4 linked regions of the Oryzias latipes genome follow. The protein of the gene in region 3 interacts with the protein of the main gene of each other region in a biochemical or structural test. Links are inferred from orthologs where the notes say so. Each region holds a gene or a part of one and is shown on either strand. Other genes may lie near its edges.

Region 1 (4,329 bases), on a different chromosome or scaffold from region 3:
GTAGATGTTCATTAATGTGCACTGTCCCTATTAAACAAAGCTTAAATAAAATAAAATCATTTTAAAATGTCCTGGCTTTCAAACAACATTCGATTTATTGCCTATTAGTTGCAATGTTACAACCAACACTCTTATGGTTTTCTTTTGCCTTTCTTAGTTTTAATCCATTGGACACATGCAACAGGATATTTATTTACCTTGACATTAAGACAGAGACTGGACTCAAAAATGTCCAGGAAAAGACTTACCTTTCTTTGTTTGACAAAGCACAAAATAACTTAACAAAACGTAGAAGACAAAAATAACGTTACATTTTGATTTTCTAACCATTGTTCCAAGTTTGTTTCTTTATATCCAAGAACATGTCAACTGTGACATTGTTTTAGCTACGAAACCTCCAACTCGTAATGTCGGTCCGTAACATTTCATCATAAACTTTTGTGTTTGTATCATTAACTACTAGTGTATTTTTTTATTCCGAATTTTAGGATTTACAAAATTCAAAATGCTTAGCTAACTTGTTAGCTGCTATTCGATAGCGCATAACAATAAACTACATAGTACGAAAGACTTACGGTTATCGTCGGTTCAACGTCTACCTCCTCCATCGGATGAAACTTTTTAGATCCTTTTAAATTTCAAACTATGAACTTTTTCACCTTAATCATGCCATTTAACACGTGCTATAATATAGCAACGCTTGCGCGCCTCTCTTTTTCTACGACTATCTCGCGCATGCGTCAAATGTAGGACTGTCCTACTTAATGCCTGTTTTGTTTTTTGTTTTTTTAAATTTGCAAGTACAGTACTTTCTTTTACTTTTAATCTACGTCAAGAAAACTGACATGACTGAAGCAAATAACACTATCTTTAGAATCGATATACATTTAAAAGTCGAAGTAATTTTATTCCGAAAACGTGTAACATATTCTCAGAATCAGGAAGATACAATCGTATCATATTGTTAATATACATTAAAACGTTATATAAGTTAGCTATCTTAGAAAATATATCGCCATATCGGTAAATGTTGTCGTTTAGTCGGTGCCTGTTTTTTATTGTAACAAAAAAAGAAAGAAAAACCAAGATGGCCACTGGGCTATAATGAGGGGTTAAAATAAGGAGAGTACTAATATATCACGCTGTACATCTAATACCGATCATATGGGCGCTTTATGAAACGTGCAGCACTGATACTAGTCTTCGGCGTGACGATGAACAGATTTCCTTCGTATATAATAGACCTAAACCAAAAACAAAAGGGAAAAATTCTGCCGTGCGCGTGCATGTGAAGCCGAGTATCTCTGTAACGCGCAGGCGGTAGTCTCCCGCCCATAACTAGACTGCGCTTTAGTCCACGTGACTTCATGCGGCCAATTAAATCCTTGTTCAGTGAACGCGCATTGACACATGCCCGCGCACGTTTCCCCGAATAATTTAAACGGGAACGAGTACGTGCGCGCACTCATATTCTTTGTGTGGTAGCATAGAGAAGCGCCAAAAGAGTGACGATGGCTGATGAAAAACCAAAGGTAAGTGACCCCATTGTCAATTACGATGCTATTACAAATTAACTGGATCGCCGATCTTAAAGGTGAATTTACATTCCCGCGTGTGCTGTTCGTATTTTTTTAAATAAAAAAGTTAAGTGATAAGATTCAACTGTACCTACTTTGATGGACCGGAAGGTATGTGAGCGCGCATGGACTGGCGCGCACGTCGCTTTTAGGCTGATTACATCCCGCCAACCAGCTGGTGTCGTTCTCTATAAATCTTGCGGTTTTCTTGCGTTGTGTTTGTGTGGTAATTAAGTTGTCTGTGTTTTGTAATGACGCACCAGAATGGAAAAAATAAACAAGAAAACGAACTGTTTGTATTTAGTCTCTAGACTAAACTGTTCTAGTCAGTCTGCAACACTTTGGCTTGACTCGTTGAAGAAAACGGGTTATAACAACTGGATACCAAAAATAAAATATTCAAATACTTGAAACTAATATTTAACAATGAATACGTGTTTTTTAGCATCTGTTTTTCATACGGCCTACAATTATGTTTCTATCCCTGGTAATTCTGGTATTTTATCTTTTTATTTTTCCACTCTGACAAACATAAAGAACTATAGAACAAACAATCTGCATGATAAACATTGCAACCCACTTGCCTCACAAAACGAACCTTTTTTGTAAATAAATAAATTAAATTAACTTTTTTCTGGTACAACAGAATGGTTAAATCCAGGTACATAGGTGTGACTTGTTGTGTGTCTTGGATCGTGTTTCCTTAAGTTAAAGGTCTTCTTAATTGGAGGACAGGTCTTCTTAATTTTTTTTCTTAGTCTCTAAATTTTGAATGTTGAACCCCAAGAAAAATGGTTCCTATCAATAGGTGTGTTAATGGTCAGAAAAGCTCTGAGCATTGAAACAAAGAAAGAAACCATCGAGCTGCACCTGACGTTCAAGGTGCGTCCTGCCGAACTGTATGACCACGGGGGAACAGCAACGAGGTCAGAAAACTATTCAGAGATGAAGATGAGAGGCAGACGGAGGCAGAGCTCATCTGCGAGAAAGTCAGGGTATGAAGAAATAAAGAAGTACAAATGCAGAAGGAGCTAAAACAGAAGAAGAAGAATCCAAGGCTGTTTGAGTGGCCTTGCACGGAGAGGTAGCTAGGACCGACAAAGCTGCTGCTGAGAGGTTTGCAGGAGAATTTCAGGTGTTAGTTTGGGAAGAAGGCCACAGCCCTCATCAGCTTTTCAACTGAAGCAAAAATGGCCTCTTCTGGAAGAAGTGACCCAACTTGCATCACCAAGGAGGAGAAAAGACCTCCTGGACACAAACCCATTAAGGAAAAACAGAAGGGGATGACTCTCCTCAGAAGATGAGAAGAGCAAAAGGTCAATTCCTTCCATCACCATCAAGAACACACTTAAGAAGTAGGACCAAGACGTCCATTCAGTGGCACCCCAACCAAACTGAAGTCTACAGACTAGTGAATTTGTTGAAGGTCATGGTCATTTCAGGAACATACTCAAAAATGGAGGAGAAACAGACTTTGGCTAAGTTCTTCCAGCCAGGGTGACTAAGAAACTTCAACCTGTTGAAGCTAAAGAACAGACCTATTCTCCACTCAATATTAGGCCACTCAAGGAGAGTCCGTCTCACCTGTCGGCGCTCTTTTGATGGAGCTGGAAATTTTATTTCCCTACATTATTCCTCTTTTTTGTGGCGATGTTGCACACATTGCCAGATTTCACATCGACTTTGGAAAATCATGTCATCCGTTCTACAAATTTAAAGAAAAATAGTATTAAAAAAAAGAATATTCAAGAAAGAAAAACCAGAAGAAACCAAACCAAATGGGGGCAAACATGCTTTATCTTCTTAATGCCTGCTGCACCACCTTTATGGTTTTATTTACACGTGTTTGTGGTTTTCATGGGAACCTGCCACCAACAAGTAAGTGGGCGATTATGATCCCACATGCGATGTAGTTTTGGTGCGACTGGCTGCTGTTGCCATAGTGGTCCTGCCCAGAGGACGGTCTGTACCATTTATCACAACCAGAGGCTCTGGCCTGCATTGTGTAACAGAGGAAAAAACAAACATGCCCAGGTTTGCCATCACACTGGCGTCCAGTCTGTTTGTTTTCAATAACCTAACCAGGAGATGGGGATGATTGGCGGCTTTTAAGCACTGTACCGAGCCTTGCACCGAAGGGTAACAGTCTTCATCTGAATGACACGGCACACAACTGTCTGGATTTGGCCTTTTCCCCCAGAAAATCAATTGTTCGCTGCAAACAGGCTTCGTTACGTGATGTTAATTTGTTTTGCGAGGCATGCAGGCATCCAAGGCAGATAGTTTTTTGTGTGTGGGGTATTTGTTATGCAAGGAACCACTGTTATTTGTGTCTAAAATGACCTGTCCTGTTTGTTGTTTCTTAAACCGTTACAATATTTATTTATTTATTTCTTTATTTATTTATTTCTTTTTGTAGGAAGGAGTGAAGACTGAAAATAACGAACACATAAATCTAAAGGTAGCAGGTCAGGATGGATCTGTCGTGCAGTTCAAGATCAAAAGACACACACCGCTCATCAAACTTATGAAGGCATATTGTGAGAGACAGGTAAGTATAATCCCCTATTAGACAACAAACACACAAAACGGTGGCGATTCAGGAAAACTATCATAATCACAACGCTTATACAAAAAGTAAAGGTTCGTTAAAAAGTAGTTAGATCATTTAAACTTTGTATTACCCAAGGAATATGTTTTTATATCCCTATATAAGCAAAAGTATTGTGGAAAAAAAAACAACAACTTATGA
Region 2 (4,172 bases), on a different chromosome or scaffold from region 3:
TTTTTAAATAAATAAAAATATTAATCGATGAAAATTCAAGTTAGCTCGAGATAAATAAATTCTGACCGTTGTGGGTGGACAGAGCAATCCCCGTTTAACCAGAACGTGTTACAGTGCTAACCTCACGAGACCTCAACCCCTCACGCGGGAGCGCGCACGCGCTCATTACTGGCTCGTTTGTGTTATCGAGCTTTTACCAAATTCATTATCTGTCGATCTGAGTTGCTCGTTTGCATAAATGATATGGTTAGTATCGCTTGTATTACTGAATACACCAGTTAATAATACCCCAATAACACAGACTGAACCACCTCTTACACCACCTGCATGTTATCAGTTGAAGAAACTGTCCATCTATCTACAATACTTGTCAATACATCACTATTTATCCTACAATGTGTGAGAAGAAAAAAAAGATTTGGGTGATCAAGCCACATGTAACCTTTTCACACTCTATTCACATTACAATTTGCCTTTTTTGTGAAATACAATACCACGTGTTACATCCTCTATTTGGTACGTTTCTTTTGGTGGCAAAGAGTGTTAAATAAACCCCTTTTCTGTAATCAATTTATTATATTTTATTTGTTTGTTCATTGTTTTTTCTTCTTCACCTTGGATACTTGTGAATTTGTTACACTAAAATATTAATTTATTCAGTAAGGTTCTACTCCATTCTGTTCCATTATACTAAATTTATATCATGTTGTCCTTTGTTTGAGTTTTATTCTAATAAATGAATGCTAAAAAAACCTCTATTGGATTTTTATTTATGTTTCATTCATTTTTTTAATTTAATGTGACAATGTTTGACACATATTTTGTTCAAGAAAATATTTTTTACCTAAATGTTTTTTTCTAGTGATTCATTAGAAAATAACGTATTGATGTTACACAATATTTTACCAAAGTGACCAAAAAGCACTACAATGCATTTTTGTTTATACAAAGGAAATTTCCGTATTAATGTTAAAATATTAGCAAAGTAAAACTGATGAATATTTATTGTATTTAAACATGTATGTTTTAAATTTTAAAAATGTTAACCTTGTCAACACCCTTAAATATGTGATGACATTTAAAAGTATGAGTTTCTCTTCAATATTATAGTTACGTGGATGCTGGTGTTGCTCAAAATATAAACGCTTAATTTAACCTTTTTTCAGACTTCTGTTCTTACTCTTGTAAGTGAATGCGCTTGTATCTTCAATTTGAGCTTTTACATTAGGCATAGAGGAGAGTAAAACTTCAAGGGCTGGGTTTTGAGAGTTTTTTTCCCAATTCATCTTCTGGAAGTTTCAGTCAGGAGGCTATATATTGCTCGTCAGAGGCTCCACGCGAGTTCGTCGCTGTTTGCGGATCTTCTACAACAATCTGGCAACCCGCACGTGTTCAGGGGGAGGCGCTAGTCCGCAGTAGTTTCTGGAACGTACCTCATGCTTGTATCATGGAGAAAGTAAGTCTCGTGTAATCGCATTTTCTTCTTCTTTCAAAACAAACATTTAAAATGGGTTTTTAAAGAATTGTGCAATGTTGAGATGAAACGAGTTTTCTTAAAAATCGTAGTTAAAAAAATTGTCTTAGTTTTAATCCTTAGCTTGAAGAGATTCACTTTGCTAATGCATCGAGCTAGCTTAATGTTAGCTAACCGTCATTCAATGTGGTCACTTAGAATGGAAGGTGTAGCTGAGCTTTGAGTTTTCCGTAAAACATTTTCATTTTATGTTAAAGTCCAAATAGTCTTGCGATATTTCCAGGTAACAACGCATGTGTGTCCAGTTAAGCTAATTAGCCATGATACGAAAATTCTACTGAAACTCCACTAATTTGAACTAAACGTGTTTGATTTATAAAAAAAATGTATATACATATTGGTTCATTTCTTTTCTGTCTTTGCCCATGCTTATCCTTAACCCTCGTAGCTTCAGACTAGTTCGCAAATCTTTGACATTGCAAGTACGAAATAACGATTTAAATTACGTTCATAATGCAACTAGTTGTATATTTTTGTATGTATTAGAGATTGCTAGTTTATATGCTCTCGTTCTAGTGTGGCACACAGCGCTTAAGTACTTTTCGATCGGCTGTATATGTTTAAGTAGCCTGCTCTCACACCGGAGGATCATTCTAGATGCACAGGTCGCTGCTGCCATGGCTACAGCCGCATGTCGTCGGAAATTGTCGCGCATTTTTCCGGTTTTTAAATTGTAGTATTTTGGTCCCAATTTGAACGTCTCTCTAAAAAAAATTTAAAGTCTCGTTTTCTCCAAACCTGTCGCAAATATTTAGTGATAAATATTGCAATAATATTTACTGGCAACAGCGTTAGCAACTATATGTATATGTATGCTAATCATGTAAAAATTATATTTTCTTAATATCCAGCGTTTGTTGTTCATGGGATCAACTAATGTTAATCCCCTAATCTGTGGTGATCTGGCTGTAATTACATGTTGTGACTTAATTAGTCTGTAAAACTGAAAATGATTTAAATCCTAAAGGGTCTTTTAACAGTAAGCTTTGAATTCACACGTGTAATTAATACTTTACAAAAGGTAATTACATGTGATGTAATGGGTCTTAAGCTGTATTTAAACTTTTGTTATCAACCCACAAATATAGAAATATGAGTCCTCTCAATTTCATCTTATAAAGATTGCATTGATAAATTAATGATCATAAACTTTAAATGTGAAATTTGATCAAAGGAGACAAACAGGCACAAACATTGGTTGTTTATTCACAAAACTTGGGGACATACTCATTTTAGTTGACCTGCTCAGAAAATACTTCTTTCTCTTCTTGGATGACCCCCCATTGAAAAAGTCATATTTGACGTTTTCAACATCCACTACTTTCATTAAATAGACTAAAAAGAAGTTTTCAAATCTGTTCTAATTGTATTTTAAAGCTCTTATATTGAACTTGGTCTGAAGAATAGTGTAAAGTTGTGAAAATTTGTTTTTTTTTTCTTCTTCTTTTTTTTGACAAGAATGAATTTCATAGAGCCATCACACCTGCATGACAACTGACTGTACTCTTTACTTTAGAAAAGATGGAAATGGACCATTGCAAGTGATATGTTCTCTTCCTTTTCAGTGCGATGAATTACCAAAGTTTGAATTTACTCATCTCTATTTGTGCCGTTTATTAAATGTATTGTTTCTTTGGACAGACTTCTCACTTCAGTCTGAAGTAATGAAATTTAGTTTATGAACAGATCTTTGAGTCCATTTAGAAATTAAAGCAAAATCTGGCCATTTTTTCAAATGTTTAATTTATTATCAAAGGTGTTGGGAACAGCTTCGACTGCGAGCTGGTGTGAAGCTTTATGTGTTTTTTCAATTTTAACTCTGATAACAGAAACGAAAGAAAAGACACAAGTTACCCAATTGGGTTTTATTGGATTAAGTGCAGTGTGTGGAGGAATGCAAACTTCTTTTACATTACAAGCTTAATGTGTTGGACCAGGAATCATTATATCTCACAAAGTATCGATTTAATGTTGTTATTTTTTTTACATTTTCATTCAAACGTAGTATCTTCTGGTGACGAGAACAACCTTTTGTATAACTATCAAAGAAGTAGGTTGATAAAAAAGCAGTCAATTGGACTTGGTTTCACATTTAATATTTTTCCAAAAGCCTTTCCTTAATCTGAAATGCATTACTAAGAGAGCAGGTTAATCTGCTCCTTAAGGCAAGGCAACCCAATGCTTAGGAGACTGAATATACCCTCATCACAAACGTCAATGTTCATAGCTTTTTTACATTTTTAAGTGGGCAATTTTGTTTATTTGTGCCTCTTTTACTCTCATTTGCCCCTGTTATGGATGTTTAAACTGTTTCTGGAGTTTCTCTTTATGGTGTGGATAAATTTCGTCTGTACAGATGAAGGAGAAATTCTCCATTCATTGTGGTCTTATTGTTTGTTTTTTCATGATCAGTTCTTAGGCTGTTTTTCAGCTCCTCTATATGGCATTTTTTGTATGCAAACTTTGATCTGGTGCTAATAAGCATGTTGGGTTTTGATGTTTTTCTAGATTTCAGCATTGAAGGAGCAGGGCAACAAAGCCCTGAGTGCAGGGAATATCGATGAAGCTGTGCGTTGCTACACGGAGGCCTTGGCTCTCGACCAATCCAACCATGTTCTGTACAGCAACCGCTCAGCTG
Region 3 (4,338 bases):
GGTGACGTCATGTTTAGGCGGGTTTTTCATGGAAAGTGCTAGAAGAAACGAAGCACTCCCCTTCGGTATTCTTCCATGTGATTACAAAGACCTAGAGTGTTCGTTGATTCCGTAAAAAATACAGCGTGCTTTTAATTTTTGACATCCAGATATAGAGATTCTATACAAATACTTTTTTTTTTCAACAAAATTTTGACACATTTTTAGAATTTAGACAATTACTAAACGGAAGCTCGTAGATGTAGTTTTTGCTGTATCTTAAATAACCGCTAGATGGCAGCAAAAATCAAATACGATTGATTTTATTCTTAGTTTTGTTTTTAATATAATAAATTTATAACGTTTAGATTTTACCTCCTTGGCCAATCAAAATATTGTGCATGCTATTCCACTATAACTTTTTATCTGTTGATATAAATAATTACATATTTTTCTGGAGGAGCACAGTTAGTTCGAGAAGGAGCGCCGCGGAGGGATCTTGTCCTGCACTGAAACTCATGAGCATATAGATTCGGCGTGCAGCTCCAGAATCCTCCTTTCTTTTTCCTGCGTCAGTGAGCGGCAGGGATAGCACTTTTGTTGCATTTTATTCAAGAAAAGCCAACATAAGAAACAAGGTATGTCTTGGTAATTCACTTCATATTGAGGGAAACCAAACTTTAAATGGTTTATTATTATTCTACACCGAATGTTGAGTCATTTAACGGGTTTTTTTGTTATTTGATTTCGATTCACGTGGTTTGTTTAACCTTGATTCATCGATTAAAAGCATTTCTGACATAGCGGGTTTACTATTCTTAATTAGTAATGGGCTTTAGGTTAAATCTTGTACTAGTGACCGAAAATAAGTGGTGGGCTTTTGCCGCATCTTGTAGGCAGACAGAAGGTATGGAGATTTATTATTGTGAAGGTTGGTTGTACCTGACTGTTTAAAGAATAACATTACCATAGTTTAACGAGCGATTGACGTGTCTTTGTGTATATTTTGCCAACGAAGGATTCTAGATGGACTACTAGTTTAGAATCTTACACCCAGAGTGTGTACATCATGTACATCTTGCATAACCGACACAGGAGTGCTCGTGGTTTTTCGGGGTGATGGTAGTTTTGGGGGCTATTTTTTTGCAGTAAAGCTCCTGAGCGATAATCCAAAATCGTTCGATCTTGATATTCACGGAAGCTTCGGGTTTTTTCGGTTTTAGTCGGCACGTGCTTGCAGCGTCCATTGTCCATGCCTCGCCGCCATGTTTCGCTGCACTTCCGCCCGTATGTTGTAATCTGATGGCAGGGATCCGACTCTGAACCGGTTTCTGAATTGTGGTAGTTTATGGTTTAAAATTATTCATTAAAAAAAATTAAACTAAAAACTACAATCTTAGTAAAATAATTGGCAGTTTATTACCGTATTTTGCGTATTTGTAAGATGTTGTGCTTTTATTTTGGCGTTTCCTGTTGGTTCATCCCATTATTAGTCTGACGCTGTTTGTTGCAAACCTGTTATTTCTTATGCAGATGCCTGAAGAAATGCACCAAGAGGAGGAGGCTGAGACCTTTGCCTTCCAGGCAGAGATTGCTCAGCTGATGTCCCTGATCATCAACACCTTTTATTCCAACAAAGAGATCTTCCTCAGGGAGCTGATCTCCAATGCCTCTGATGTAAGTCTGCAGCAGTTTACGTAACATCGTATCACCTCTGTGTCAATACAGTGAAATATCTTGACGCTGAATTATTTTTAGGCTCTGGACAAAATCCGCTATGAAAGCTTAACTGATCCCTCCAAGCTGGACAGCGGCAAGGATCTGAAAATCGACATCATCCCCAACAAGGCTGACCGCACCTTGACCATTGTTGACACTGGAATTGGCATGACCAAGGCTGACCTTATCAACAACCTGGGTACCATTGCAAAGTCTGGGACAAAGGCTTTCATGGAAGCCCTTCAGGTATTAATATAAACAGGCATAAAGGGGAAAAATACATATACACATTTATATATTTTTTTAGCAGAAGTGAATACAAATTGTGGAACTTTGCCGTTTTCTTCAGGCTGGAGCCGACATCTCCATGATTGGTCAGTTCGGTGTGGGATTTTACTCTGCCTACCTCGTCGCTGAGAGGGTGGTGGTTATCACCAAGCACAACGACGATGAACAGTACGCCTGGGAGTCCTCTGCTGGGGGATCCTTTACCGTCAAGGTCGACAGTGGTATGGATCTTCAAATATTATAATTATGGTGCAACAAACTAAAATCTGACTGTGAAACATTTGTTAACCTCTACAACACTGTTCTCAGGCGAGCCCATTGGCCGTGGAACAAAGATCATCCTGCACCTTAAAGAAGACCAAACGGAGTACATTGAGGAGAAGAGGGTCAAAGAGATCGTGAAGAAGCATTCTCAGTTCATCGGCTACCCCATCACCCTCTTTGTAAGTGATTTGTTTGTTTTTTTACAAACATATTTCTCACTAATAGAAGCTTATGTGGAGTTGTACGTGGTTTATCTATAGGTGGAGAAAGAACGTGACAAGGAGATCAGTGATGATGAGGCAGAGGAGGAAAAAGAAGAGAAGGAGACCAAGGAGGAAGGTGAGGACAAGCCAAAGATTGAGGATGTGGGCTCAGATGATGAAGAAGACGCTAAAGACAAGGGCAAGAAGAAGAAGAAGATCAAGGAGAAGTACATTGACCAGGAAGAGCTGAATAAGACCAAGCCCATCTGGACCAGAAACCCTGATGACATCACGAGTGAGGAGTACGGCGAGTTCTACAAGAGCCTCACAAACGACTGGGAGGATCACCTCGCTGTGAAGGTAAAATAGAGGTTTGGGTGTCTTCTGATCGGCTGATGGAACCTCGTGCTGACGTGTGTTTCTCTTTTAGCACTTTTCAGTGGAAGGTCAGCTGGAATTCAGGGCTCTGCTCTTTGTTCCTCGTCGTGCACCTTTTGACCTCTTTGAGAACAAGAAGAAGAAGAACAACATCAAGCTGTACGTCAGGAGAGTCTTCATCATGGACAACTGTGAAGAGCTCATCCCAGAGTACCTGAGTAAGTTTTAAATCTCTGTTCCACCGGATCTGAAAGGAAATGCACAGCAGCTTTAAAACGTTTTTGTTTGTTTACAACAGACTTCATCCGTGGAGTGGTGGACTCTGAAGACCTGCCCCTCAACATTTCAAGAGAAATGCTGCAGCAGAGCAAGATCTTGAAAGTAATCCGCAAAAACATTGTCAAGAAGTGCCTGGAGCTGTTCGGAGAGCTGGCAGAAGACAAAGAAAACTACAAGAAATTCTATGAAGGTTTCTCAAAGAACATCAAGGTATCTCAAACATATCTGAAGCTTTTCTAAATGATGCCTATAAACTGATGGATTTTTTTTTTCCTGTAAACTTTTAAGGTGTGAAAATAAATCGACACATATTTAGCGTGAAGCCTTGGAATTGGGCAACGCTTGCTGCATTACCCAGAATTTAGTTGAGTAAATCGATCACAACTTTTATGTTCACAGCTCGGCATCCATGAGGATTCTCAGAACCGTAAGAAGCTGTCTGAGCTGCTGCGCTACCACAGCTCCCAGTCTGGAGATGAAATGACTTCCCTCACAGAGTACCTTTCTCGCATGAAGGAGAACCAGAAATCCATTTACTACATCACTGGTAGGTTTGGCTTCCAGTCCATATGTTCTTTTGTTGATTCTTTTGGCACGACTTAAGTTTTTGTTTTTTGCCTCTGAAGGTGAAAGCAAGGACCAGGTTGCCAACTCTGCTTTCGTGGAGCGCGTCCGCAAGCGTGGCTTCGAGGTCCTGTACATGACCGAGCCCATCGACGAGTACTGTGTTCAGCAGCTGAAGGAGTTTGATGGCAAGAACCTGGTTTCTGTCACCAAAGAGGGCTTGGAGCTGCCAGAGGATGAGGAGGAAAAGAAGAAGATGGAGGATGACAAGGCCAAGTTTGAGAACCTCTGCAAGCTCATGAAAGAGATTCTGGACAAGAAAGTAGAGAAGGTTGGTCTCAAATAAGAAACTGTGCTTTTGCTCCTCATTTCTTCACCATCATTTCCTTAACTTCAGTGGTGTTTTGTTTGGAAACAGGTTTCCTAGTGGTAACTACTTATATTGGTGAGTTCATACAGAGTAGAAGTGGCCTGTAGAGTTTCTAGCGTTGCCTGATATTTGAGTTGAAAGGGTTTGGTTTTGCAAGAGCCTGATAAGTCTGACAGCGACGTGAGTTCTAACAATGTTTGTCTTTTGAGGCTGTGTCTAACACTCGATGAAATCAGCATCACACAAACGGCCTGAACCGCATGCGTGTATTGCATTCCAGTGGTCGGTTTTCTC
Region 4 (4,345 bases), on a different chromosome or scaffold from region 3:
ATCCAGATCTTAACCAAAACAGCAAACAATAGGATTCACTTTAGACAGAGATCATCTGCCCATTTTTTAACACTTGACACGGCACAGAGACAAACAAGACCAATGTAAGAATTGTATGTTTGCAGGCGTGTGTAACAGCGTAGTGAGACAATAAACATGTAATTCTGCTCTTAATCACTACAAAAGTTATCTGTGCTGAATCCAAACCCAAAACTGCAGCAAGACAAATAAATCACAATATGATCAAAACCCAAGCACGCACGCACACACACACACACACACAAACATACATTTATACACACAAATTAAATGGTAAACGGCATATAATTGATTGAAATATGTCGAGCATTGATTTATTGTAACGTTGAAGATAATTAATCTAAATAATAGAATGTGTCAGAATATTAGCTTTTATCATCAAAATAATAGAAAAAGATGTTTACAACCTAAATGTTCAAATGCCTTCATTTCTATCACTTAGCTTGGTTAGGGCTCCTCTATGTGAATCACTGCATCAATGCACTGAGGATATGAAGCGTGTGGCTCTATGTAGAAGTAATGGAGGTTTCTATGTGCTGCCTTCACATTATCTGCATTATTGAGTCTGGTGTCTCATCTTCCTCCAAACAAGAGACAATAGATTCATAATAGGGTTCAGGTCAGGGGAATGTGCTATCAGCCACAGTAATACTATTAATTGAACCAGCTTTTGGTTCTTTTGGCAGAGTGGGCGGGCCCCATGTCCTGCAGGAAAATTGAATCTGCAGCTCCAATGAGCTCAACACCAAAAGGCAGCATGAAGTGCTACAGAACTTTGTGTAGACTTCAAAAAAACATGGACCTACATCATCCCTGACTGTGGAAGCTTCACAAGACCCTTCAGGCAACATCGGGTCTGTGCGTCTCCAAATGAAATACAACCTTTACTTTTGGACCACTAAGCATCTGTCTGGTTCTTTTCTAATGAGCCCAGGTAAAAAACAAAAAACAAAAAAAAACGTCTAACTCTGATGATGGTGAAATAAATCAGAATTTTGCATGGATTTTCTCTGTTGAAAGTCTTTTTTCTTTCCACTCTATTTTCTGTTAATATGCTTGGACAGATTAACTACCATGATTGCATATGGACTTACATTTGTCTGATACATTTGAAGGTTCAGGAAACCTTTGCAAAAATAATCCGTTACAGTTTTTGATACTTTTTATTTTGTCATTTTCTTCTTAATGTACCTAAAGTTGATGAAATGCTCTGGTTTTAAGGTAAATGCATTGATTTGTAACTGCTGGTGCCTTTAAGAACATGTGCAAGTTTGATTTTCTCATCCCCACAGAAAATTCTTTTTTGTTAGAATCCCACAATAAAAGCACAAGTGAACTGATCCATCTTCAACACCTAAAGGTTGTGATCCTTTGTTCTGGTGTTATGATTAAGAAAACCCGACACGAACGGCTAGGAGAGAAAAATCAAACTAGTTTCTGACCTTTTTGCAAATTGCCGATTGCCTCATCGTAGTTCTCCAGCTCCAGGTGACACTGGCCCAGGAAGAAGTGGGCTTTAACAGACTGACTATCCAGCTCCAGTGCATGCTTACAATCTGTCAGAGCCTTGTCATACTGCTGCAGCTTCACGTGGCAGAGGGCCCTGTTGGTGTAGTATACTGCCACTGATGGATTGCGGTTCTGGAAGACACAATGGGGAAAATAAAGAGTATTTACGCGCAAACTGTTTAGTCTTCGCCATTAGTGTTTGGATGAGAAATCCCAGACGCTTACAATAGCTTTACTATAGCAAGAGGCAGCATCCTGGTACTTGCGGCAGAGGAAAAGCCGGTTCCCCTGCTCCTTGAACTCCTGCGCGGTGGAACTCTTCTCCGGGCTGCCGGCCATCTTCTCCACCGGCTCCGCGGGGCCCGCTTCGCCCTGTTTCCCTATCCTGTTCCCCGTCTCTTCGGCTGGCTAGACAACAGGTTTTCAGAACGTCCCGTCCGGCTTGGATCTCACACACTAAAACACAGGCGCGTGCTGAGTTAGCGATGCACCTGCAATGCGCTGCTTCTTCAACGATCTCTCGGCGCAACGCTGCTGCTTGGTGCCGCTCAGAATGCATTCATTCGGGTTTGCTGACAGTGCACGCCGCTGAAAATCACAGCTAGACTGCCGGCGAATTAACTATTCACATTCGGAAATCGATGGCCATCAGCGAGCACAGCTATTTAAAAAAAATCCAGAACCATTAATTTACACATCCACTCAGGTTTCGAGTAAAAACACCAGATACAAGATAATATATTTAAGTTAACGAAAAATTGTATATTATTGTTACACGACAAGAAACACAAAAATAAGATTGCTAACTTACAAACAAACAGAGGAGGAGAATCGATGCTATGCTAAAATTAGCTAAGCTTTTATCTTGAAATTATTTTGTTTGGGGACATAGTACAGCTTTTGTGTCTCTAATCAATTTTATTGACATTTAATTTAGGGTAGATTCTGGTGAATTGAAGCAGAGGATAGTAAAACCATAACTACTTGTTCAAGGATTTCAATATTTACCACAACGCAGCTCGGTTTCTTCAAAAAACATAAACTAGCTAGTGCTAGCTTAGCCTTTTTGCATTACAGTTGCTTCACGTCCGTTTCAGTTTGTTGGAGGCTTAAATAAAGTTTTACATAGTACCCACCCTTACCTTTAATCAGAAATTTTACATTCAGCTCAAACAGATTTAATTTAGTTTGATATAAAATCGTTACGGATTATTTTTACCACCCGTACGAACTGTCAAGACGGAATGTTGTGGTGCTGACGTCAAACGCTTTACGCTCTAACAACGGAAGCCGAGAGCACACGAATCCTGATGGGAGTTTGCGCAGAGGTTATCTTCAAGTATCATAACAATGTAAAGTTTCTGTGCTCATTTCTGTAAAAGTACTGTGGGAACAAACCCTCATCTGTATTGGGACTGCTCTCATAATTTGGCTTTATAGAATGCCAGCCCTTTATCTTTAATCCTAAATTAATCATAGAGGGTCATTGGAGCTGTGAGAAGAGCATGCAAACAACGTGAAACAGGGGCCTTCTATATGTGAGAAGACCCTGGTATCAGTGCTAGTGGTTAGAACTAACATAGCTGACTACTGATACAAGTAACCACACCTTATCTCTGAGTGATGGTTAGTTGTATAGAAAATAGGTACTGACCTTACATTACGTTAGACAAAATACTATAACAACACCCTATCAAATAAAAGTGTTTGTTTATATCTGATTCGAAATTATTAGTAAAATAATTGATATTAATGGAAATAATTTATTATTATTATTTTGTCTTCCTTAAACTTCTGTTATTGCACTAATCCAAAAGCATTGAAGATGATAAATCTGTTCTATTTGATTTGGTGCTTTTTATGTCTTTACTCATTTTTCACTTTTTATATTAGCTTGATGCCAAATTTTAACATGAGACTTTGCTTATGTTAAGAGAAGCATAAAAATTCATTTTTTTTCTGTATCGCTTTGTCCCTTTCGGGGTCACGGGGCTGCCGGAGCCTATCTCGGCTACTTTGGCGTAGGCAGGGGATGCCCTGGACAGGTCGCCAGTCTGTCCAGGGCAGACTGCGTTTTTTATGCTTTTATGCTGCTGTAAGCATAAAAATGTAATTGAAAAAAAAAAACGTATATATTTTTTAACATTCAGAAAAGTATTTTTTTCTCAAATATGGTTTGAAAATGAAATGAAGCCACACCTAAATATTTCCTGTTATTTTTATGCATCTTTACAATCACTCATTTAAATCTGAATAAGCAAAAATATGAGAGCAAGAAATGGAAAGATGGGTTTACCTGAGGTTGTTTGAGACGTTTATACAAATCTGAAATGTGTAAAGAGGAGTTATTTTAAAAAATATGATCAGAAATATTTGCATTTTTTGCAGTTGAACTACCAATTTTACACACCAAGATACAGAAAAAGACAACTGGGTGGTTTCTCATTGCACTTGTAAAAGATCAGCACAGGAAATCTAGTGTATTGGCCAGAAGATGGCATCATCGGGCTACTCGTTTTTTTAAATGTGAGTCAAATCTTTAATGTAATCTGTTATTAAGTAGTTTAGTACAATATTATGAATTACCATTGCATCACTGTGTTATGTAGTGACTCTAATAAAGATATGTGCCAAATAAAGATGTGTGCCAAAATAAATTTGATGATACATTTATACTTATTCTGGATTCAGTTGACAAATGTAAACATTTTTAAATCATCAAAGGGATTTTTCAGCAACGGTTATAATATTAAAAACATTTTTTATGAATCAGTTTTCTTGAGACATCCAACTCACA

Evidence for each region.
Region 1: the proteins of hsp90ab1 (region 3) and sumo2 form a complex in vitro, tested with the Homo sapiens proteins (2 studies listed by BioGRID). The link is inferred for Oryzias latipes from reciprocal best matches to the Homo sapiens genes HSP90AB1 and SUMO2.
Region 2: the proteins of hsp90ab1 (region 3) and stip1 form a complex in vitro, tested with the Homo sapiens proteins (2 studies listed by BioGRID and IntAct, with this or other methods). The link is inferred for Oryzias latipes from reciprocal best matches to the Homo sapiens genes HSP90AB1 and STIP1.
Region 4: the proteins of hsp90ab1 (region 3) and stub1 form a complex in vitro, tested with the Homo sapiens proteins (3 studies listed by BioGRID and IntAct, with this or other methods). The link is inferred for Oryzias latipes from reciprocal best matches to the Homo sapiens genes HSP90AB1 and STUB1.

Annotation. Positions count from the first base shown.
Region 1 is NC_019866.2:13,022,377-13,026,705, forward strand, and holds the start of sumo2 (small ubiquitin-related modifier 2), read left to right. Parts: upstream 1-1,493; 5' UTR 1,494-1,511; coding exon 1,512-1,532; intron 1,533-3,996; coding exon 3,997-4,128; intron 4,129-4,329. Other genes in the region: nuclear pore complex protein Nup85, read right to left, coding at 576-608. UniProt on the Homo sapiens protein: Ubiquitin-like protein that can be covalently attached to proteins as a monomer or as a lysine-linked polymer.
Region 2 is NC_019872.2:19,986,834-19,991,005, reverse strand, and holds the start of stip1 (stress-induced-phosphoprotein 1), read left to right. Parts: upstream 1-1,331; 5' UTR 1,332-1,447; coding exon 1,448-1,456; intron 1,457-4,042; coding exon 4,043-4,172. UniProt on the Homo sapiens protein: Acts as a co-chaperone for HSP90AA1. Mediates the association of the molecular chaperones HSPA8/HSC70 and HSP90.
Region 3 is NC_019882.2:5,881,839-5,886,176, forward strand, and holds the start of hsp90ab1 (heat shock protein HSP 90-beta), read left to right. Parts: upstream 1-1,506; coding exon 1,507-1,656; intron 1,657-1,737; coding exon 1,738-1,944; intron 1,945-2,047; coding exon 2,048-2,207; intron 2,208-2,295; coding exon 2,296-2,429; intron 2,430-2,510; coding exon 2,511-2,813; intron 2,814-2,883; coding exon 2,884-3,049; intron 3,050-3,129; coding exon 3,130-3,320; intron 3,321-3,509; coding exon 3,510-3,657; intron 3,658-3,736; coding exon 3,737-4,005; intron 4,006-4,092; exon of another isoform or gene 4,093-4,119; intron 4,120-4,338. UniProt on the Homo sapiens protein: Molecular chaperone that promotes the maturation, structural maintenance and proper regulation of specific target proteins involved for instance in cell cycle control and signal transduction. Undergoes a functional cycle linked to its ATPase activity.
Region 4 is NC_019877.2:8,954,535-8,958,879, forward strand, and holds the start of stub1 (E3 ubiquitin-protein ligase CHIP), read right to left. Parts: upstream 2,828-4,345; 5' UTR 2,557-2,827; intron 2,005-2,556; 5' UTR 1,888-2,004; coding exon 1,774-1,887; intron 1,681-1,773; coding exon 1,482-1,680; intron 1-1,481. UniProt on the Homo sapiens protein: E3 ubiquitin-protein ligase which targets misfolded chaperone substrates towards proteasomal degradation.